Notamacropus eugenii: one gene and its partners. The protein of the gene in region 1 purifies or fractionates together with the protein of each later gene. This does not show direct contact. Links are inferred from orthologs where the notes say so. Each region holds a gene or a part of one and is shown in the gene's direction. Other genes may lie near its edges.

Region 1 (7,178 bases):
AAAGTTCTCTATATATTTGAGATGAGGTCTTTACCTGATAAACTGCCTATAGAAATTTTCCCCCAATTTTCTGCTTTCCTTCTAATCTTGGTTACAATGATTTTATTTGTACAAAACCTTTTAAATGTAACAAAATAAAACTATTCAATTCACATTATCAAAATGCTATCTCTTGTTCATAATTCTTCTTTCTATAAGTCTTACAGGCATTATGTTCCCTGTTCTAATTTTCTTATGACATCTCCTTTTATATCAGGGTCTTGTATGCATTTTAGACCTTATCTTGGTAAATGTCAGAAGATATTTGTCTGCACCTAATTTTTGACAGACTGCTTTCTAGTTTTCTCAACAATTTTTACCAAATAGTGAATACTTATTCTAAAAGTTTAAATCTTTGCATTTGTCAAAACGCAAGGTTACTTTGATCATTCACTGAGTACTGCATGTCTGCTCTGTTGCACTCATCCACTTTTCCTAGTACAGGACAGTTCTGATTTATTGCTTTACTATATAGTTTATTACACAGTTTCAGATCAGGTATCATTAAGCCTCCTCCATGTTTTTCTTTTATTAATTCTTTGATATTCTTGAATTTTTGTTCTTCCCAATGAATTTTATTATTTTTTACAGCTCAACACAATAATTTTCTGGTAATTTAATTGAAATGGCATTGCATAAGTAGATTAATTTGGGTAGGATTGTCATGTTTATTATACTGGCTCTGTCCACCCAGGAGCAATTAATATTTTTCCAATCATTTAAATCTGACTTTATTTGTATAAAAACTGTTTTATGCTTTTGCTCATGTACTTTTGGGGTTTTTCTTGGTAGATATACTCCCAGGTGTTTTGTACTGTCTACAATTTCTTTAAGTGGGGTATCTATTCTTGCACTTTTTGTTGATGATATAAAGAAATTCTGATGATGTACGTGGGTTTATTTTAAATCTTGCTACTTTGCTAAAATCAATAATTATTCCAACTAACTTTTTAATTGAATTGCTAGGATTTTCCAAGTATATCATCCTTTCATCTTTAAAAACAGCTTTATTTCATTGCTCATTCTGATTCCTTCAACTTCTTTTATTCCTCTAAATGCTCTTTACTAGCATTTCTAATATAATACTGAATAATACTGGTGATAATGGGCATCGTTGTTTCACTCCTGATCTTACTGAGAAGGCTTTTAGCTTACCCAGATTAAAAATGATGCTTACTGATGGTTTTAGGTAATACTTCTTACCATTTTAAGGAAAAAATCCACTTATACCTATGCTTTCAAGTGTTTTCAATAGGAATGAGTGTGGCATTTTGTCAAAAGCTTTTTCAGCAAATACAGATATAATTATATTCTTTTTGTCACTTTTGTTATTGACATAATCAATTATATTAATAGTTTTCCTTATGTTAAACTATCCCTACATTCCCAGTACAAATCCCATTTGGTCACCATGTACAGTTTTTTTTTTTTTAACACTTCTATTGAGGGAGGGCAAAGGAGATGCATATAACTGGTGGATGTGGGTTACATAAAAACAAAATATATCAATAAAATTTTATTTTTTTAAAGAGTTTTTCTTTAATAGTAGTAATTAGATTCATGGGATTTTGGGGGGGGTCACTTTTGGACTTTTTGATGTACTTTGTGTTTATATTACATATATTTACAATTTACTCTCACGTCATGAGAAGTCTCTCAGAACATGGTAAAACAGTTAAGTAAAACCAATGATACAATGACATTTGAAAGTACATGTAACATTTCACTTCTGAATCATCCTCCTTTTTTTAGATGAACACAAATCTACTTTTTCTCTTTACCATGGGTCCACCCCATTGGGGAGAGAAAGGAAATTTAAAAAAAATAGAAACGAAAGGGATCTTAGAAATTGTTTAGTTCAATCCTCTCATTTGACAAAGGAAGAAATTAAGGCCAAGAGAAATGAAATGATTTGTCCCAAAGTTACACAACTATTATGTAATAAGATTAGAGGTGGTGTGTACCTAGGCAGACCCCACTGGCCATTACAACAAACCAGTTTGGGGCAAGAATTAGGAAATATGCCCTCAGGGGAAGGTAGTGCTGGTGATGACTTTTAGCTCGGTTAAAAATAAAGAAGGGAAATTAAATAAGCTAACTGAGAGGTAGGGAAGATGTGCTCCTGGCTTTTGTCTCACTCAGATACCCCTCCCCTTTGTTCCCCATAACCAGGAACCAGAGACTCTTGAAACACCGAAATGAATCTGGAGAATCTACCCTATGAGATTCCAACAGCAGACTACGAAGGAAAACATGATAAAAGTGCACAATCCAACAAAACAATTCGGAATGATAGGTCAAGTGATGTTTATCCAGAGATCATAGCTGCAAGGAAGTCACTAAGAATAGGGTAAACACAAATCCTCGGCAAAGAAACAAAGCTATACAGAGAAGGCTACAGAATAGTACCTTCATAGACACAGTTATAGGACACGTTGTAAAACAAAGTCTCTTCCCCTACTCCTGTGAAAATTTTTTAAATAATCATTTTCTTGGATACTCATAGCCTTCCTCAGCCCCTTCTTCCTGTACACCCCAAAACCCAACACCAGGATTTGTTCTAAGAAAGAGACAAATGATTAGGTCCGGTCTTTCACAACCTAGCATCATGTATAATCTTTGTGATATGTTGTTGTAATCCCCTGGCTAATATTTTATTTAGAATTTTTGCATTCATATTCATTAAAGAAATTGATCTACAATTTTCTTTTTCTGTTTTAGCTCTTCTTGGTTTAGATATTGGCACCATATTAGTTTCCTAAAAGGAGTTTGCTAGGACTCCTCTGTTATTCCAAATAGCTCATTTAATACTTGAATTATTTGATGTTTAAATGTTTGGTAGAATTCACTTGTAAATCCATCTGGTCATGATGCTTTATTCTTACAAAGCTCCTTCATGGCCCGTTCAATTTTTTTCTGACTCTCAAAGTTCACTTGGAGGCCTTATTTTAAATTGTGGGTGAATCTGGTGCCGTATTCTACCATCTTCACGAACCCTCTTCCCTTCAGCCTGGCTTGCCTTCCACCGGAGAAGAGCCCAAGTCCGAAGCGGACAACTTACACAACAGCTGTCTCCGTCTGACACACCAAGGTACCTTTCAACGCACACGATTTAAAAGAGAAACAGAACGCAGCGGGGAAGACGCCTGAGCCCCTGACGCCACCACCACATTCGGGGTGGATGCGGACGCCCTGCGTGGCCTCCTCGAGCCGGGGGAGGGCAAGGACGGCCGGCGGGCACGCTCGGTCCGTGCAGGCTGGGCGGCGGACCCGAGGGTGTACGGCCCCTCCCCCCGGCGGGCCCTCACATCCCCGAGAAGGCCCTAGCAGTGATCATTAGCGTTTCCTCCAGGTTCTCACCGCCCCCCCCAGCACACAGAACCCTCGGGCACCCCCTTCTCACCCTGAGCCCCAGCCACGGAGGCCCTGAGGATCAGGGAAGACACGCGGCTCCTAGGTTCCAGTGCCAGCTCGGCTACTTAACACGGGGGGGGGGGGCTTTCTCCCCAAGAGCCTCAGTTTCCTTCTCTGTAAAAATGAGAGGGCGGGGCGGGCCGGCTCTCGGGAGGTCTCTCCCGGCTCGGAGTCCGGCGGCCACCGCCCAGATCCACGGAAGAGGGCGGTACCAATTCTCCTTCGCCCCCCTCTCCTCATCCCTCCATCGCTCCCCACCTTTGTTCCTGGTCGCTATAGCAACCAGAGGCCTACCTAACCCTCCCCCACGCGGAGACCAGCTTCGGAATCACGATTCCAAGCCGACGGAGGCTGGCGTGTGGCTGCGGCGCTGGAGGCGGGAAACCGAAGGCCCGCGCCGAGGTGCAACGGAGAAACAGAGAGAGAACAGCGCAACGGGGAGGAATGGGGAGAGGGTCCTCACCTACGGCCACCGCTAAGGGTGGAGGCTCCGGGATGGAACTGTTTTCCGTCTCAGTCCAGAAGCCGGAGGCAGCCACTCCCACTCCGCTTTTTTTTCTTTCCCTTTCCTTCCTTCCTCTCATCTCACCCCTCCCCCGACTCCGTCACCATCCCCACCGCGCAGGCGCAGAACTCCTTTCCCAGCCCCGCCCCGCGCGTTGCCCGGCTTGAAAGGAAGCAGCCAAACCTCGTGGGTCTGGCCCGCACCGGAAGTAAAGTCCTGAGCGTCTTCGCGCCGAGACCGGCGACGCCGGAAGTGGTGGTCGCAGTGCCGTGGGAGCAGCGGGGGTGGGCGTTTTTGCGCTGTCGCCGCTTTGTGGTGGTGGTCGCGGCTCGTCGGGCCCCCTCTCTCCTCATCCCTTTCCCTGCCCCCAGAGATGTCGGCCATCCCGGCCGAGGAGAGCGACCAGCTACTGATCCGACCTCTGTAAGGAGCCCTGGGGAGGGAGAAGCTGCGCGCAGCCGAGCCCGGGGAGGGGGGCGGGGGAGGCCTCGGGGAAGGCCGCGGGGGCTCCTGAGGCGGGGCCTCCCAGCCCCACACTCTGCCCGCGCCTGTGGGCTCGGCCTCATTCACCTGCGGATCTCTACCACTTCCTTAAAAGCCACTTTGCTCAGGAATCCCTCCCTGATCCCTTCCGTGGCCACCGCTGGTGGCAGGGCCTTTTCCCTCAAACTTGCCTTGACACTATTTTGCGTGGCTCTGCGCCGCAAGATCCCTTTGTGTTCATTGTCATCCCCACCCCTCGTCCGACTGAGCTCTGAGGGCCTCTCTGTCCTGTCTCCCCTGCGGGCAGGAGGGTTTGCCTTGTGTGATCCACGAGTGAACCGGGGACTAAAAGACATGGTGGCCAAAGACCTCCCCCCCCCCCCCGCCGAGTTGGCCGAGCTGGAGTTTCCTTCCACGTGAAGGCGAGGGGTTCTGACTCCGCGCCTCTCACAGGGTCGGTTTCTTTTTGAGAATCCAGAGGAAGAATTTATACGGAAAGAACTGTAAACATCCGAGCAATTATTACCTGACAAGTGCTGGTTAAGTTTCTGTTCGGTATTGAGTACCTTGTCTTTCGTTAGGAGTCCTTGCCTTCCCCAGAGACATGTAAACAGAAGGCAATTGTTTGTGATCTGGTATGTGTGAGGCACGGTGCTAGACTGGCTCTGCCCGTAGGGAAGTTGGATTATAATTAGAGAAATCATGCATCTATACATAAGTCTGATGCTAGGTAAAATATGCCATGTAGGAAGGAAATATCCAGACAGAGTACTAGAAGAAATCGGAGGAAGGTGAAATCTCGTCCAGGTGGAAGGAGGAAAGTAACGCACCAGGAAAACCTGAGTTAAAATGTAGCATCACTCAGGTAATAGCTGTGTGACCCTGAGCATTTCATTTAATTTCTTTCTGCCTCAGTTTCCTCATCTCTAAAATGTGGATGACAATAGCACCAGCTACCTCACAGTGTTATGAGAATAAGATAATATTTGCAAACCCTATAGGCCTATATAAATGCCAGATATTATTATAGGTTGGTGACACCCAAATTTGGCCTTAAAGAAAGGGAGAGATTTCAGCAGGCGCATTTTGATGGCAGTCAGTTTCAGATGTGCAGAAAAAACATAAAGAAGGGAAAAGGTAGGATGAAAAGGCTTCCTGTAAGTGAGATTTTATCTGGTACTTGGAAGCAGAGATAAAGAGGGAGAGCATTTCCTTGCATGAAGAACAGCTAGTGAAAATTCCAAGTCTAGTGTGTTTTGTTCAAGGAACAGAAAGTATTACAGTGTCACTGGATCAAAGGATATCTGGTGCTAGGAGTGGACTGAGTGTTAGGTGTAAGAAGGCTAGAACTGATGATCTAAACAGCAAAAGTGGAGGGATTAGTATTGGAATAAAGGAAGGCTTCATTATATTTTGAGACTGAAGGCAAGGAGTTGAAGTTTAGAGAAGTGGAGAAGTCACATTCTTAGACTCACAGTTTTGGAGCTGGAAATGACCAAAGAGGTTAGCTAATCCTGCCTCGTTTTTTGCAGATGAGGAAACTGAAACCCAGAGAGAAAGCATAGTTTGATTTATTAGTGTAGTTTTGTGCTGCTTTTAACATTTTGCCTTAATACATTTGCACAGATGTTTATGTTTGTTTCTTGTTATTTTTTTTACAGTGGGGCTGGACAAGAAGTAGGAAGATCATGTATTATTCTGGAGTTCAAAGGAAGAAAAATAATGGTAATCATTGTAAAGTATACATATGTGTATATACATATATATACATACACATATGTAGTATAAATCTGTTAATATGTAAAACAGTCATTTTTATTTTTTGTAAAAGCATTAACATAATTTTGGGAATATCCTACTCATAAATGCAATAAATTATGTTTACCTAGATCTGCCAACCAATTATCTTTTTTATAATAAATTCTAAAGAGGTTGTCAGTTCTGCTTCTGTGGGTTGGAATTATGTGCAAAGGTTCCAAACAGGATTCTAGACATTTGGTGAAAAAATACATTAAAAGATAGACAGTGTGACTAAGCCAACCTTCCTCTCCAACCAAGAGAAGTTGGTAGATTATACAAAGTTAGTGTCTAACCTGAATGCATGAAACAAAGCCTTAGCTCCTTTATTCTGCCTCACCTCCAAGAGAAACATTGTAGACTTAACTGGTTTTTTTAATGGGTTATGGGTAGATCCTCATTGACGAAAGATCAGAAATTCAGACTGATGTCTAATGTCCATGAAGAAAATTTTTACCAAATTATCCTCAGATTCTTTGGAAGGGTTCATTTGCTATTCTGTTAATGAGACATTTGGGAAGAGTAGGTTCAGGGTCCACCTTTGATACTTCCTGTGTCACCACGAACAAGTTACTTAGTTTCTTAGTGCTTACTTGAGTACTTACATTTTTTCACTCTGTCATCATAAATGTCTTACAAACAGCTAGCTTTGCATTTATTTTAAGAAGTCAGTATTAAATAGATGAGTAGAATCTGTCACCATTATATTTTGTCCATATTAAACATGACAAATTAATGTCAACTTAAACATTTTTTTCCATAGACACATTTGTACTATATATTATTCAAAGATATTTTAATGAATTTTTTCCCAATTCTTTCACAGTTGGATTGTGGAATTCATCCTGGCTTAGAAGGAATGGATGCCCTTCCGTACATCGATTTGATAGATCCTGCTGAGATTGATCTCCTCTTAATTAGTCAGTAAGTCTTATCTTGA
Region 2 (8,093 bases), on another chromosome or scaffold:
TGAACTCAGTTAAAAGGGTTAACAGTGTTTTACTGAGTCAGTCTCTAACCTGGGAATGATGAAACAGAGCAGGCCAGAGACAAAGTGCCAGTAATCACTTAGCGATTTAATGAATTAGCTTCATTGTAAGGAACAGATTTGCAAACTGGGAATTCTCCTAATCATAATTCCACCATACTGTAGTGAAGGCAGAGATTTTATACATAAATCACAAGTGGGAAGGGGGAGGAGAAGGTGGATTACAAACAATCATTTCCAAGGCTTGAATGATTTCCCATGACAAGCCCACAAGTCCACAATACAGGTGATCTGGAGTCCTGTGGGAACAGTATTGTTTCAACTCTCCAGGGGTCATTATTTGGTGGGGCACAGGACCAGAGTTCTTCAACAGGAACAGGTTCTACAATCTTTGATTTGGGTCATTTAAAGTACATAAGTAAAAGAATGCAGTGATTGTGAGAGCATTGTCAAGAATTTGATTAATCATTTCAAGCTGCATTGTAAGCTTCTGACTTGAAAACCTGGAGACACAGCTCTGAAAAAATCTAAATTATTATTTAGATATATCTATCATATCATTATTTAGATATGTCATATCGATTAATATGATAATCACAATTCCCTTCGAAAAAGAGAAGTATAGAAACCATTAAAAAAAAAGAAAAGAGCACCACTACCAAGCCTCTCAAACTGCTTCTCCAGGCTGTGCCTTCAATGGGACTTCCTGCCTATTGAAGTGTATTTAACCCTGCCCCACCTCTACCCATTCTGCCGGGTGGCCCTGGATTGCAATTCCCTTGCCTCCATTAGAAGACCCTGGTTTTTCTGTTTTTGCAGTTTTCTTTATTTCAGGTTAACATTCCATTCTTAGCATATCTGTGCTAGTCACTTGCTCTTTATTCTTTCTACTTCATTCATTTTTTCTCTTAACTTGAGCCATGGGGCTTTGGTATTTTGTCCTTTATCTGTCTTAACCACTCCTTAAAAGACAAACGAAAAATGACTGAAGTTCTTGACATATATACCCTAATGAATACCAAAATAGGTTTTGATTCCAAAATGAAATGTGCAGTGATCTTCCTGTCAGTAGTCAATATGCATTTATTATAGTAAGTGTCAGGCATCCAGTGGTAACTGATGGAGCAACTAATACAAATGAAAGAAAGACAATCTATGCCCTCAAAGAGTCTACACATTAATGGGGAACGGTGGAGGAAAGGAAAGACAGCTCACCAAAGGAAGCTGAAAAGCCAGAGGAGGGGGAAGTTACCTGTGATAGCACTATGGGAGTTTCAGAGAAGTCCAAAATCAGCATAGCTAGTGGGTAATGGGGAGAAAAACTGTGCTGAGTTCCCTCTTTAAATGGAGTCCCTATCAATGGAAACACTTGGGTAGAGGTTAGATGACCATCTGTCAAAGATTTTGTCCATAGGATGATGGAGTACAAGGGGCACCATTAGGGGAATCACTGATTGCCAGAGTTATGAGATAATAATAGGTAACATTTTTAATGGTTTTCAAAACAGATTAGTACTCATTTGAGTACCACATGGCCCTGAAAGTACTACAGAAATTATTCTCATTTTTCAGATGAAGAAACAGAGGACCTACAGAAGTTCCATGACTTTTATGAGTTGGAGGTAGTATTCAAAGGCTATTTTCTACTCCTAGTCTTTGTCTGTCCTTCGTTCTGGAAGAGGACCAATCATATCAGGAAGATGATGCCATGACTTGCAAGTAAATTGGATTTAAGTGAGGGAGGGCTGTGCAAAATCATGGTAAATACCTTTTTGGTTTTAGTAGGATCAAGTGCCTCTGATTGGTAATGTGATTCAAGAAGATCTTCCCCACCCATTAATAGGCCTGGGGAGATTTGTAGGAAAGCCACACCTTTTGTTAATGAGGCACTGGTTCTCAAGGGTTGTGATGCCCTCTGCCTCTAAAAAGTGTATAAAGACTCTGAGGTGAGGGTTTACTTCCTTATTGACTGGAAGTATTGGTTTGGCCAGATGAGATTTTGCGCATCTGCTAAAGCTGTATTGCTTATGTCAGACAGTTGGAAGCCATATCTGTTGATTATTATTTCTTTGTATTTTCTCTGAAGTTCAGGGTGCTGACTTTTTCCCCTGAACTAAGTGAATGATACATGTGCTTGATTAAAGTGATTGTTGATCCCTCAAAAGCTGCTCTCCTTTTACAAATGCAGATCTAAGAACCTGTGATAGTAGGCTCTCCTGTGTATGCCAGGGTCATTGCTTTTACAGTCACCAGCCTCACTCTCTCCTCTGGACCCCTTTGTGTCCCATGACAAGATATAGATCAAGATGACTGGAGGTGGTCCTAGTCTAGATGCCTGGTCTAAAGCTCATTCTACTGTATTACAATACCTCTTCATGATCTTAGTGGTTATCTAATCCAGTTCTTCATTTGAAAGATGAAGAAATTGAAGCCTTAGAAAATTTAGCCATTTCCTAATCAATGGACAGTATTTCCAAGTTTGTGCTGTCCCCCAAAGTGTTACTATACTTTCTTCACTATCAATAGCCTTTTTGGGGTATAAACCTAATACTGAAATCTCTGGGTAAAGGGTATGCACTTTTCGTCACTTTATTTGTTTAATTCCAAATTGCTTTCAAAAATTTGTTGTGATGATCACAGCTCTAATAATTGTGAGACCCACTTGAGCCCCTCTTCACCCAAAGAAGGCTGAAAACCTGGACTGGCCAATCAGAGAAGACAATTTGAGCCCTTCTGAACTGACATACCAATAATTCAATAATCCTTTGTGATGTTCTATGAGTGAACCCAAAAATCCTCCTGCTGTTTCAGCAACCACAAGACTAGATTAAGGTTGTACAGGCATCCTGAGTAAGAGGCACTGTCTTGCTTATTGGAAACCTTATTCAGGGGCACTTCCTTGCTTCATGGCTTTATAATCTGTGTAGCCTAATCCCAAAGTTCAGGTTGAACTGCAGTTCCACATGTATGCCTGCCAGCTCAAGAGAAATAAACATACATATAACCTAATTCTGTTTGTCTTTCTTAGACTGAACTCTGGAGGTTGACACAATGCACTAGTGTGTACAACCCCTGCAACATAGATTCTTCCTTTCTTTTGTTGTCTTTGCAAGCTTGCAGGGTGTGATTGTGAAACATCAGAGTTATTTTGATTTGTTATCTGTCATATTATTTGTGATTTGGAACACTTTAATACATTTGTTAATAGTATGGAATTTTTCTTTTGAGAATTGTATATATCTTTTACCATTTATTTAATGGTGAATAACTTTTAGTTTCATTGAATAACAAATTTGATACTTTTTTTTTCCTATTCAGCTGCTTCTCTTCTTATCCTTGGTGCCTCTGAAAGTTAAGTGCTTTGTCCAACAGTAAGGAAGCCTGCAGTTTAAATCCTAGCCCTGCCCCTAATTCAGAAGTTCCCAAACTTATTTGGCTTACTTTCCCCTTTTCAAAAAAAATCACTCCGTGCTTCCTTGGAAATATACTTTCTTTAACCCTTCAACAGATTTTTTCTTTTGGAAATTTGCATCATTTCAAAAAATATAAATTTTTTTTGAAATGATGCATCTTAAATTTAATAATTATTGTAAATTTGTGATTTCTTCCTGCATTGAAGTTTTGAAGTTTTGATGATGCAGTATTGCCAGCATAGTATTGTATTGTAAACAAATCATTCCATGCACGTGTTCTTGCCAATGCATGCTGGACTTCTGGTCTGCCAGCACTTGATTATTAAGACCTGTCTTTATCACTGATCCGTTATAACTTGCATTTTGTGTATTTATTTGGAAAATAATGTAATCACTACGACTTTAACTATTACACAACAGATGAAACATATGAAACGTACAAATGGTTTTTCAAAATTTTCTTCTTTCTTTATGTTTCCACTTCCTCAAATTTTTTTTCAATTTTTTATTCAAAGCCCCCCCCCCCCCCCCCCGCCCCAATTGCACTGGAGTCTACTACTGCTCCCCCTATTATTCCAGTGCCCCTCAGGGGGTGATATCACCCACTTTTGTAACCTATGCATTAGTTGTGTGTGTGAAAAGTCTCTTGATGTCTATGGGGCCTCTGTGCATCTGTCAAATAAGGGGGTTAAAATAGGCAACCCCTGTGGTCACCAAATCAGTGAGAGATAGTGTAAAATAGTGAAAGGAGTGATTGAACTTGAAGGCTGAAGTCCTGGTTCAGATCCTTTACTGATATTATAACCTTGGGCAAGTCATTTTACGTCTTGGAAACTTCAGTTTCTTTATCTGTAAAATGGGGATAAGAATACTTCTCTTGCTTACTGGAAATCATCAACCACAACGTTTCATATTAAATGAGCTATTATTAACCAAATAGTAATTTTTTCCCGGGGAGAAAACATACATGAATCCTGCAACTTGTCTGCTATTTGATCCCACTCAAAATCCTTTTCTGGGCCTCATAGGATCACAGATTTAGAACTGGAAGAGGCCACCAAATAATTAATTTTACAGATGAAGAAACTGAAACTAAAGGACCTGCTTAGTCCAAAGCGGGATGTCTCGTTTTTGCCTTTCTAGGTGTCCGCGGGGCTTACCACGATGCCTCCCTAGCAGCGATAAATAAATGTTTTTTGACTGACTTTAAATCTATAGCCCTATGCACCGTGTCAGGCTGCCTCAGTTTCTTCCATCTGTGAAATGAAGAGTTTGGATGAGACGTCTCGCCCACTCCGAATAGGAGTCACCTATGCTGTCAGACGAACGAAGCCCCCACACTCACTCTGCTCACTCCTTCAACCCCTCGGTGTTCACAGCCCCGCCTGGCCCCCTGGACACGCACTCTCCTCGCCCCTGCTCTCCTCCCCAAGCTAGCGAGTCCTCAGACCGGGCTGCAGGGAGCAGCGGTGGCCAGCGGTGGCCAGCGGTGCCAGAGGCTGCTCCGGATGGGGCTGAGCGCCCGGTGCGCTGCTCCTGCTCCTCCTCCTGCTCCTCCTCCTCCTCCTCCTGCTCCTCCTCCTGCTCCTCCTCCTCCTCCTCCTCCTGCTCCTCCTGCTCCTCCTCCTGCTCCTCCTCCTCCTCCTCCTCCTGCTCCTCCTCCTCCTCCTCCTGCTCCTCCTGCTCCTCCTCCTGCTCCTCCTCCTCCTCCTCCTGCTCCTCCTCCTGCTCCTCCTCCTCCTCCTCCTCCGGCGGTGGGGGCGGGCGGCGCTTCTCTTGAGCTGCGGCAGCGTGAGTTACCGTATCCCTACCTCCTTCCCAACACTCCCCCTCCCCCAGGTCACTGCCTGGCGGGAAGAGAGGCCAGGGAGCGCTGGCCATGGATATGTTCCTGGAGATTAGGAAGCGGCTGCAGAACGCACTGCTGATTATCCGGTATAAAGCTACCCACCTCTCCGTCCCTAACTTTGTAACGGCTGGCTGGGCAAGGGAAAGGGCTGGGGGCCCGAGCGAGGGGTGGGGCGGGGTGGACTGTCCACGGATTTGCGCCCCGGGCCCCAGCCAGCGCATCCCACTTCTTCCCCAGGATGCAGACGTGACTGGGCAGGAGAAGGCTGCAGGTGTGCGTAAAATGCCTAGCTGGGGAGCGGGGTACACCTGACGCGTGGCTGATGAGCCAACAGACTGTGTACTAGCTCCGGAGAGCCTGGCACGTTCAACTCGCTGACGCCTCTGGAGGCTTAGGCGCGAGCCTACCCTGCTGAAGGCGCACGCGCCGGGGAGCAGTTGTTTCTGACGTCATTCCGGCTAGGGGAGACTCCGAGGGCCTGGCCACCTTGTCTCTCCCTCCGCCCTCCCCTTCCTTCCCTTTCTCTTCTCTTTATCTGAAATTAACCAACCCTGAGCCCCGCCCTCTTCGTTAGACCTAGTCCGCGATTCTCCTTTGAGGTTAACTCTGGTGTGATACATTGTTGTTTTTTCTGGGCGATCTCTAGAATATTTCCAAACAAACTGATGGTTATTTTTATAATTATAATAATTATTATAATCCTATGATTATTCTGATTTGCTCATGTCACTTGCTCTGTGAAGAGATGACTTATTTTTGTTAAAAAAAAGTGGAGTTTATCTGAGAACTATCCTGTGCCAAGCCAGTGTTTTATTGACCTGTTTGAGTCCTTACTAACCTAGTTAACCCGTGGGTGCTTTTCCAAATTGCCCTTTGAATAGGAGTGGCATGAGTGTCTCAGGGTGTGTCTGTATCCTCTTCACCTTTGGTGCTCCTCACCCTTGTTACCTATCCAGTCCCAAGGCAAATCTCACTTAATAGAAACAAAGCAGACCTTACCTCTTCTTGTTTGATCCTCCCATTTTGTAGATGAGGAAACGGGTCGAGGCACAGGAAGTGATTTTCCCTAGGCTTCACTGGTAGTAAGATACATACTCTAAGTCTCCTGACTCCAAATTCAGCATTCTTTCCACTACAGTGGTCATTTTGACAGCCTTCTTAAATTAACTGTACACTATTTTTCCATTACCTTTTCAAATTGAATAAGAAAGAAAGCACAAGTTTTATTTGTTGTTCAGCTGTGTCCATGATCCCATTTGGGGTTTTCTTGGCAAAGATACTGGAGTGATTTGTCATTTCCTTCTCCAGCTCATTTTACAGAAGAGGAAACTGAGGCAGACAGGGTTAAGTGACTTGCCCAGGGTCACATAGCTAGTATGTGTATCTGAGAACTCAGGAAGATGAGTCTTCCTGACTCCAGGCCCAGAGCTTCCTCCTCTGTTCCACCTAGCTGCCCAGGTTTTCTTTGCAAGAAAAGAGGTACTTTCCTTGTTTTCTCTTGACATGGTGAGGATGCTGTTGTACATACATGCTGTTCATCAATTTTCTCTTAGATTCTCTATGTGACAAATCCATCTTTCAGATATATATTTCTCTGGTAACATCCTTTGCTTCTGTTTTTTAAGTTTCCTTTTATTGACTGCTGTCCCCTGATCACACCCACCGTAAGCCTTTTCGTTGCCCTCTTTATGATATTTATTTTCATTTATTTAGAGTTGTATTTCATGTACTGTATCCAGTGATAGTTAACTATCATTAAAGGAGTTTTGTAATTTTCTGAAGGCAATTTGACTTGCTTTTGTGTTTAATTCTGGGCTTAACTTATCCATTGGTACTTTGATCCCATCCATATATATTGATGCATAATCCACATTGATATTTATATCTACATCCATACTTATACTACTGCATAGATACAGATCTATATGTGCCTACATATTTCTCATACGTATATGCATACATATACATATTATACATGTGCATGTATAAATATACATGCATGTAAGCTTTACAAGTTATCTTTTCACTTGTATGTTATAATATAGGCACTTGGCTTTTCTTGTGTGGATGTTAAGCCAAATTCTTTGGAGTTCTTATGGATCTCTTAGGATGGTCTTCAGTGTTTGATATCTGGAGACTCACTGTCCCTAGGGAATCGATCACCTTTTATCTTATACTCTTTGAAGGACCTTTACTTAATTAACTGCAGTCATTTCCTATTGCTTCTAGGATAAAGTATGAATTCTTCTGTTTAGCTTTTAAAATCTAGCTTCAATCAATCTTTCCAGACCCGTATGTTCTTCTCCGTCCTGTACTCTATGACTCAGTCAAGCCAATTTTCTCTCTGATCCTCTGATATGATGTGCTATTTCTCATGTCTGTGCCTTTTCACTGGCTACCCTCTGTGCCTGGAATGCTCACCAGGCCTGACTTCTGCCTCATATGATTCCTTTCTTTCTTCAAGATTCAACTTAGATACCACCTTTTCTATGTGAAATTTTTCCTGCTCCCCTGACTGCTTATTCTTAGCAAACTACTTTGTATTGATTCTTTTTATATTTATTCTCTATATATACTTATATATGTATTTGTGGTCCCCATTAGAAAGTAATGCCTTTTTCAAGTAGAGACTTTTTATTCATTCTCTTTGTTTCTCAAGTGCTAGACCATAGTAGGTTCGTATAGATTTTCCTATTGTATCATCTCATTAAGGAATCTTGAATGAAACTGGGACTGTGTATGTATATATAGAGGGGACACCTCGTTGGAAGAGAGACTTTATAGTTGGATCAAATGATTTTTTTCATAATCAA
Region 3 (7,753 bases), on another chromosome or scaffold:
TTTCCTCATTTCATGGGCTTACAGCTAGATACATTGGAGAAGAGCAGCTGTGAGAGGATTCAGTCATGAAAACATAAGAATCAGTAAGAAAAGTGATGGAAATCATCCAAAAAAGATGTCATTCACCCATGCACTTAAAAATTCTCTTATTTTTTCTTTTCCAAATCAAGGTCCATTCCAATTCCTATTGTACATTGGTGCTCTGTAAGACCTAAGTGAAACTGTCCAGTGACATTTTGAGGGTGAGGGATGTCCCTAAAATTAATGTTTTATTACTTCAAAATTTCATAATTCCCTCCATTAGTTCTGACTACAATACCTTTAATGCCATAGAATACATGAAAAAAAATATGCCTGAAAAAAAACCAAGCACACTTCATTATTTGGTGACTAAATCTGTGCAGAACTCCTCTCCAACTCAATCTCCAAGCAACAGAATGGCTTATGTTTGAGGGATCTATCTATATTATACTAGTACAGCTTTTAGAAAAATTAGGGTTACCTCTAGGTTATCACATCATAATGATGTGCCATGGTAGGACTAAACAAGAAGATGTAAAATAATAAATAAAACAAAATTCTACTCATAAAGGGATTTGCTATCCTGGCAGAAAACTCACATTGTCCCAAGGAATAATACTTAAAAGTTCAACAAAACACAATATTTAATTGCATATATACATAAAGACACAAAAGCATGTGAACACAGGCACAGTTCTTTGCCTTCACGCATAGTTTGTATATAACATGAAAAATCGTATATCTTTATTATGTTACAATTATTTGTTTCCTCTATCTTTCCTAACAAACAACCCTCCTACAAGGCCCTAGTTACCTAGAGGGCAGACTCTCTGCTTTACTTATCTATAGCACTCTGATTATCTTATAGGTGCTTTATGAACGTTAGCAGTTTGCCATCACCCCATTAGGAGATTGAGTGAAATATTTTCCACTTAGAAATCAACATTAAAACTTACATATGTAAATCTGGATAACCCAACTGAACATATCAGTCAAATCCTATACACCAATTAAGTTTCCGGAAAGGGTCAGGGATTCTTGTTTGAGACCTTGACCACTGTCACTAAATCTACAAACTTCCTTGCATGTAGTAGGTCCTCAATAATTATTGTTTTTTGTGATTGAATAAAATACTTCACTGCGTTTTCTGAGGCATTGTAGGAAGCTACAAATTAAATAGAAGACACAGTTCCTTGCCTTTTCAAGAGCTTATGGCTTAAGGGCCAAGACTGGGATAAACTCAAATATAAAGACTAGGGAAAATCTAGATTGTCTATGACTTCCACCTCTAAATGGTTGTCTGAATCTTGGTAAATAAATTTAACCTTTCTGATTCTCAATTTTCTTGTTTACAAAACTGACTTAATCAGTCTGTCATTTAACTGAGAGCTATTCTGGGGACTTGATAAAACATTTTAAGAGAACTAGGTTGGAAATGGATAAAATGAATTATTAAAATGCAAATTCTAAAGATAAGGAAAGGAAAGCCTACATGTACTCAAGTAGAATTTTAAACAGATTTTCATGGTGCTTATGAAGGAGTATTGGAACAAACAGAACTAGGAAAAGCTTACATTTATTCTTCTCTATGTTAGTCAATTCATTGCCTGCACAGGATTAATTTTCATAGTTACATTGAGAAAATATTGGGAATTGTAGGAAATATTGGAATTGGACTCTTGATAGAACCAGATTTACATACACATCCCAGTGTCCTGTGAGCGGAAATGAAGAAAGTCGCCATTCAAAGAAGAAGTGGAAGTTATGAGAGCATTCTAATGTAGAGAAAATAAGGAGCTCTAAATGTAAACATTCAGAAGGGTCCTCAAAATGAAATTTGTTCATAGAGCATGACTTCTTCTGAAAAATTGCCATGCCTACTTATATCACAGAGTGTTTGTTTTGGTTTTTAACTATATTCTGAATTTTGTGGATGACAAACTTACTAGTATATATTTTGGACAATAACTCTTACAGTCATTCATGTTTTGTTACAGGTAGGGATGCAGGTATTGGGGGTTAGAGGAGAAGGACTAGACATCTCCAAGAGGAAACATATTCCTCCTTTTAATACTCAATCTCATGGCAATTTTTGACACTTCTCAACATGATCACTGAGGCAGAACACTTTTTGCTATTCAAGATTCTTATATATCTCCTATGATGTTACATTCTACTTAACTCCTTGATGAATATTTTTTTAATTTTTTTTTATTTTTTAATGTTTAACAATCACTGCCATACAATTGAGATTTTATCCCCCCCACACCTACCCCCCCACTACCCCCCTCCCTCCCCATGACTGCATATAATTCTGTATAGGTTCTACATATACTTTCCTATTGAGTATATTTTCACTATAGTCATGCTATGTAGTCAGACTAAAATAAATGTAAGAAATCATATAACAAATCAAAACATGATACACAAAAACATACACATACACAAACATGATCTGCTACATTTTGCGAATGACTTCCATATTTCTTTCTCTGAGTGTGGAAGGCATTTTGCCTTGAGAACCACCATTGGGATTTTTTTTTTTTTAAGAAGTTCTTGCGTTATTACGAAATTTCAAGTCTACCAGAAAAAACTCTCACACACTGTGGTCGTTGCTGTGCACAAAGTTCTCCTGGTTTTGCTCCTTTCACTCAGCATCAGGTCATATAAGTCCTTCCAGGCCTCTCTGAAGTCTTCTTGTTCATCATTTCTTATGGCACAATAGTACTCCATTACATTCATATACCATAATTTATTCAGCCATTCCCCAATTGATGGACATCCCCTTGACTTCCAGTTTTTGGCAACTACAAAGAGTGCTACTATAAATATTTTTGTACATGTGGGACCCTTTCCCATTTTTATGATCTCTTGGGGATCTTGATGAATATTTTGGACTGAAGTTAAAAACAATTTAAAGGCCAGTCTTAAATAATAACAAAAAAGCAGTCTCTCTCTCTCTCTTCCCCACCCCCCCAAACATACGTGTGTGTGTGTGTGTGTGTGTGTGTGTGTGTGTGTGTGTGTGATATCTAGCACTGGATCCAGATGGCTCAGGAGGAGAAGTGACCTTGCACAGTCCTCCCTCACTCAAAACTAAGCCAAGTTCAAGTCATGTCATCATTTCTCTAATGTCATGGTCTTCGAAAATGAAGGACGAACACAACCTTCAAGTGGACTGAGCTGCCTGAGTGGAGAGCCACCTAGCTGGGTAACTCAGCTTATCCTCTTCTTTCTCCCTCTCCCCTTCCTTCTTCTCTCCAAAGGAAGGTAAATTTGGATGGCCATAGACTGTCCAGTTAACTTGAGGTTTACTGATTACATGTCTTTCTTCCTTCCTACCTTCCTTCCTTCCCCTCTCTCTCTCTCCTCTCTCTTTTTCTTTCTGTTCAATAGGTCCCTGCCCAAGCTCCACTACATAGCTGGCTTAGAGTGATTATCAACAGTACCAATTTCTTTTTTCCTCCTAACTTGACTGTTCTGTTTTCTTTTGCTCATTAAAGGGGCCATTCCCTGACTACTTTCTGAAAGAGGCCTATTCACTGAATGGGCATTACCTCCCTCCAGGTGAGTACCTGAAAAGGCAAAAGACCAAGGTCTCCCATTGAATCCTAGGCCATCTCCACTCATCCTGAGGACTATCTGGTCACTGGATCCAGATGGCTCTGGAGGAGAAGTGAGGCTGGTGACCTGCCCTCCCTCACTCAAAACAAAGTCAATTTCAAGTCATGTCAATTTCTCTGACAGCATGGTCTTCTTTGAAAAGAAAGGATGAACACAACAACACATCTCTCTTAACAGGGAAGCATTTGAGATAATTGGAAGGTAGGCCAGGGGCCAACACAATCTTAAAACAAGCACTTCTTTTATTTTTCTGTATATTTGAAAATTTAACATCCTTTTAAAAAAATTTTGAGTTTTAAATTCTATCCCTCTTGCCCTTCCCCCACAAGCAATATCAATTATATATACTTGTGAAGTCATGCAAAACATATTTCCACATTAGCCACCTTAAAAAAAAAGCAGGAAAAATAAAGTGAAAAAATAAATTAAAAAAAGAAAAAACACGCTTCACTGGGCAGTCAGAATTCTTCAGTTCTCTCTGTAGGCGTATCACACTTTTCATCTTGAGTCTTTTGGAAGTGTCTTGGCTCGTTGACTTGATTTGAATACCTATAAATAATCCAGGCAGGTAATTGGGAAAGGGGCTAGTATAGGAAGACAGAAGGGCTCCACAACAAAAAGTATGAGAACTTCCTTTTACAAAATTATTTTAAAGCAATTTTGACGCTACGATGTGCCCCTGTCCATGGGCACGCAGAAGAAAGCCTGACTTCCTTCGACAAGGAGCAGGAAGACCTTTCCAGGGGGCGGCTCCTCCTCAAAAAGTCTAGCACCGTTCACTGAACTCAAACCGGATCGCTGTGTGCCCCAAAGCCAAGGGGTCACCGCGCCCGGCGCAGCGCTAATTCCGTATCCTTTCTAACACAGGACGTTTTTCTGAAGATGGAGCGGAAAAAAACACGGAGGAAAAAAGAAAACCGCGGACCTGAGGAAAGTACGCATGCAGGGCGGAAGCACACCTAAGCCAGAGAAGTCTGAAGCTGTCAGGACTGTGAAAATGGGAGAGGGTTCTGAAGGAGAGGAAGGATGCCCAGAGAGGCAGGAAATCGTGCTGGAGGAAGCTCCACCCTCTCCTAGCGTGCGGGGGAGGGGCAGGCGCTTGTCTCGCGTTCGCGCAAGCGCGCACGCAGGCGCACGCGTACCTGGCTGGGCTGGCCTCGCGTCGCGCCGCTGAGTTCGGGCTGCGCGTGCGCGAGCGAACCTGTGCTTGGGGAGGGGGGCTCGTCATCGTGATCGCCGCCTCGGTCCGCTCCTGTGCGGTTCCCAGTCCCGCGCCCTCACACTCCCCCATCGGAAGCGAAGCTCGGGGGGAAGGCCCGGCTGGTGGTCCCGGCATTTGTTCCCAGTCGTAGCCCGGACGGCCATGTCGGCCGGGGAGGTGGAGCGGCTGGTGTCGGAGCTGAGCGGCGGGACCGGTGGGGATGAGGAGGAAGAGTGGCTCTATGGCGGTACGCAACTCGGGGTCGCTCCTTTTCCCCTCCCCCCCCTCCGCCGGTTTGCTCCAGGCCTCTTCTTTCCGCGTCCCGCGGTAGCGGGGGGCGGCGGGCGTGCTTGCGCCTCGGACCCCGGGCCTTGGGCCTCCCTGCCCCGGCCGGGACGCTAGGCCCGAGCGCCGCGCGCGTAAACCCTTCGGGAGCTCCTCCTTCTGCACCCGCAACCCGCGCCTCCCCGGGGCCCCGGCTCCTAGCTCCGGACCCGGCCGCGGCCTGCCCGCCCCCTGGGGTGCGAGCCCCTGAGCGCCGCGGCCGCCGGAGCTGGGCTCCGGGCCCCTTCGGGCCGTGTTCTCCCCGGCCGTGGTGATGCTAGAAAGTCCACCAGAAATAAAACAAGTGGCGGCAAGCCGGGGGACTTGTTGGCACGTCCGTCGCAGACGGACCAGGTGGCTCAGGGCCCGCGAAGAGCCCGACTTGCTTGTTGTTGGTCTTTTTCCATTAGCCCTGGATGTAGCCAGACAACCTGAGCGCATCACCCGAGGAACTCACGAGCCCCACGCGCGGAGTTACAAGCTACTCAATAAGTGTTTGTGGGGTGCGTGGGCTTGGCCTCCCGCCTCCTACTGACGTGTCCTCCAGACACCTCAGCTTATCCCTTAGTTTACGTTTCCTGTAGTCACGTTTCGCCTGCTGATTTTCTGAGAGTCTAACCTTGTCTTGGATGCTGTTGGCCTGGATCAGGCAGACGGATGTTTGACATGTCCGAGTGACTTCCGGACACGGTCACGGCCTTGGAATTGCATAGTTAATAAGATGATACCAGGCTGTACCAAGCATCCATTTAATGAGACCAAAATTAGACTGTGTGCCAGGAACAATATCAATAGCATTAAATAAATTTTAAATGAGATTTTGAGACTCCAACGCCTGAGAAACTTAACTTAAAATATAAAAATAAGGTCAAATTTTCTATTTTTGAAAAATCTAAAAGCCGCAGATTTTTAGATATTTGTAAAAAAGAAACAGCTGTCTGTGACATACAGGGTGAATTTTGAAAGATTGGGTTAGTATTTGTGCTTCCAGTTTTAAAGATTCGTTGACAATTCATTTATGTTTTTTTCTTGACAGATGAAAATGAAGTTGAAAGGCCAGAAGAAGAAAATGCCAGGTTAGTGAAATTCCCGATTGATAGCGGTACTGATTATGTAGTGGTGCCAGTCTTACCATTGTTTATAGTTAGGAATTTGGACTTTATATGTGATGATCAAGGTTAAGCTGAAATCTGTAGTTGATTAAGGTTTTAAGGACCTGCTTCTAAAATAGAGAGAAGAATTTTCTAGTTTCTGTCAGGTGCTTGGGGATAGAGACTGAACCTATGATTTCGTGGATATTGAGAACTTTTGTGTGAGGAAACCCCTTCTGCCAACACAAGCTCCTATCTTCTCTGCAACCTGTAGTCTTAGAGTTTCCTAGAGTAATGAGAGATTAAATGAGCTCCGAAGTCACACAACCAGTATGTTTTAAGTTACCTTCACTGCTCGGTCAGCTTATGTGCCTTGTGCCATGCTGCTTCTGATGCTAAAAACTTAGGACATGGTATTTTTGTTATTTTCACATTTTTTTTGTTTTTCTTTTTTACTATTTACTACCTTACAGTGATTCAGTAAAACTATGTGCCAAATGGGGAATTTTCTGAGTTTATACATTCCTTAGGCTTTTCTAAAGTTCTAACTAGTATAGTAATAATACAGTGGCCAGGAAAATTACCCCTTCCCAATTTGTTTAAATGGCTTAATGCTTTATTAGTAGAGTATATGTTTGTTTGATGTGCTTGGGTGAATGTGTGGCTACCTTTTATTGAATTAATATACAAGAAATCTCCAGTCTATAAAAATTCAGTTTACCATCATCCTATATAAACAAATTGCCATCTATATGCTGCCCTGCCTCTTCTCCACTAAGTCCATAGATCAGTGTGAAAGAATTTCAGCTTATAGAGAATTTCTGGATACAGAAGAGACAGACCACTGAGAAGATTTAGGAGACTGGTTCATGTAATGCCTTTACTACTTAAACGCCTTCCTAGACTGCCATGTTAAAACTTTATAGTAGAAAGAGCAAGATATCCGAGTTGGAAGACCTTGGTTGAAAAGTGTCCTACACTTGTAGTTCTGTTACCTTGGGCAAGACATTTAACCTTCCTGAAGCTTTGGTTTCCTTTTCTGTAGAATGAAGGTATTTATACTTGTTCTTCCAACTTTACAGAGATTTTTTTGGAAAAAGTACTTATAAACCAAAAATCACTACATAAAAGTGGACTCCTTAATATTTTTTAATATCAAAGTTTGCCTACATTTTGAGTTAAGTAGATTTTTGGGAGCAAAATTTGGAATCTTATTAGTTTTCAATTTCTATGGGAAAATGTATTCCAGCTTTTTTTATAAGCTTATAAAAGGCAACCCATTCTTAAGTTAAAGACTACCCATATCAGTTCTGATTAATCTAGACTAAATTGTTTTCAATCTTTGCTTATTATTGCAGTAATCATATTTTGAGAAAGGACTCCTGAGGTACAGTCCTTTGTTAACATTAGATTAGTGCTGCTAAGTTTGTAAACCTAATTATACTATTTGATAAAGGTGATCATTGTTCATTCATGAACCTGAAAGACTGAA

What was found.
Region 2: the proteins of CPSF3 (region 1) and UBE3D purify together in Homo sapiens (affinity purification with mass spectrometry; 4 studies listed by BioGRID and IntAct, counting the BioPlex papers as one, with this or other methods). This does not show direct contact. The link is inferred for Notamacropus eugenii from reciprocal best matches to the Homo sapiens genes CPSF3 and UBE3D.
Region 3: the proteins of CPSF3 (region 1) and FIP1L1 purify together in Homo sapiens (affinity purification with mass spectrometry; 5 studies listed by BioGRID and IntAct, with this or other methods). This does not show direct contact. The link is inferred for Notamacropus eugenii from reciprocal best matches to the Homo sapiens genes CPSF3 and FIP1L1.

The regions. Positions count from the first base shown.
Region 1 is NC_092872.1:549,754,400-549,761,577, reverse strand, and holds the start of CPSF3 (cleavage and polyadenylation specificity factor subunit 3), read left to right. Parts: upstream 1-4,082; 5' UTR 4,083-4,331; coding exon 4,332-4,381; intron 4,382-4,967; exon of another isoform or gene 4,968-5,102; intron 5,103-5,189; exon of another isoform or gene 5,190-5,306; intron 5,307-6,102; coding exon 6,103-6,166; intron 6,167-7,064; coding exon 7,065-7,162; intron 7,163-7,178. UniProt on the Homo sapiens protein: Component of the cleavage and polyadenylation specificity factor (CPSF) complex that plays a key role in pre-mRNA 3'-end formation, recognizing the AAUAAA signal sequence and interacting with poly(A) polymerase and other factors to bring about cleavage and poly(A) addition.
Region 2 is NC_092873.1:155,792,808-155,800,900, reverse strand, and holds the start of UBE3D (E3 ubiquitin-protein ligase E3D), read left to right. Parts: upstream 1-5,059; 5' UTR 5,060-5,310; coding exon 5,311-5,366; intron 5,367-5,517; exon of another isoform or gene 5,518-5,551; intron 5,552-5,571; exon of another isoform or gene 5,572-5,889; intron 5,890-8,093. UniProt on the Homo sapiens protein: E3 ubiquitin-protein ligase which accepts ubiquitin from specific E2 ubiquitin-conjugating enzymes, and transfers it to substrates, generally promoting their degradation by the proteasome.
Region 3 is NC_092877.1:104,813,717-104,821,469, forward strand, and holds the start of FIP1L1 (pre-mRNA 3'-end-processing factor FIP1), read left to right. Parts: upstream 1-4,715; 5' UTR 4,716-5,008; coding exon 5,009-5,093; intron 5,094-6,206; coding exon 6,207-6,246; intron 6,247-7,753.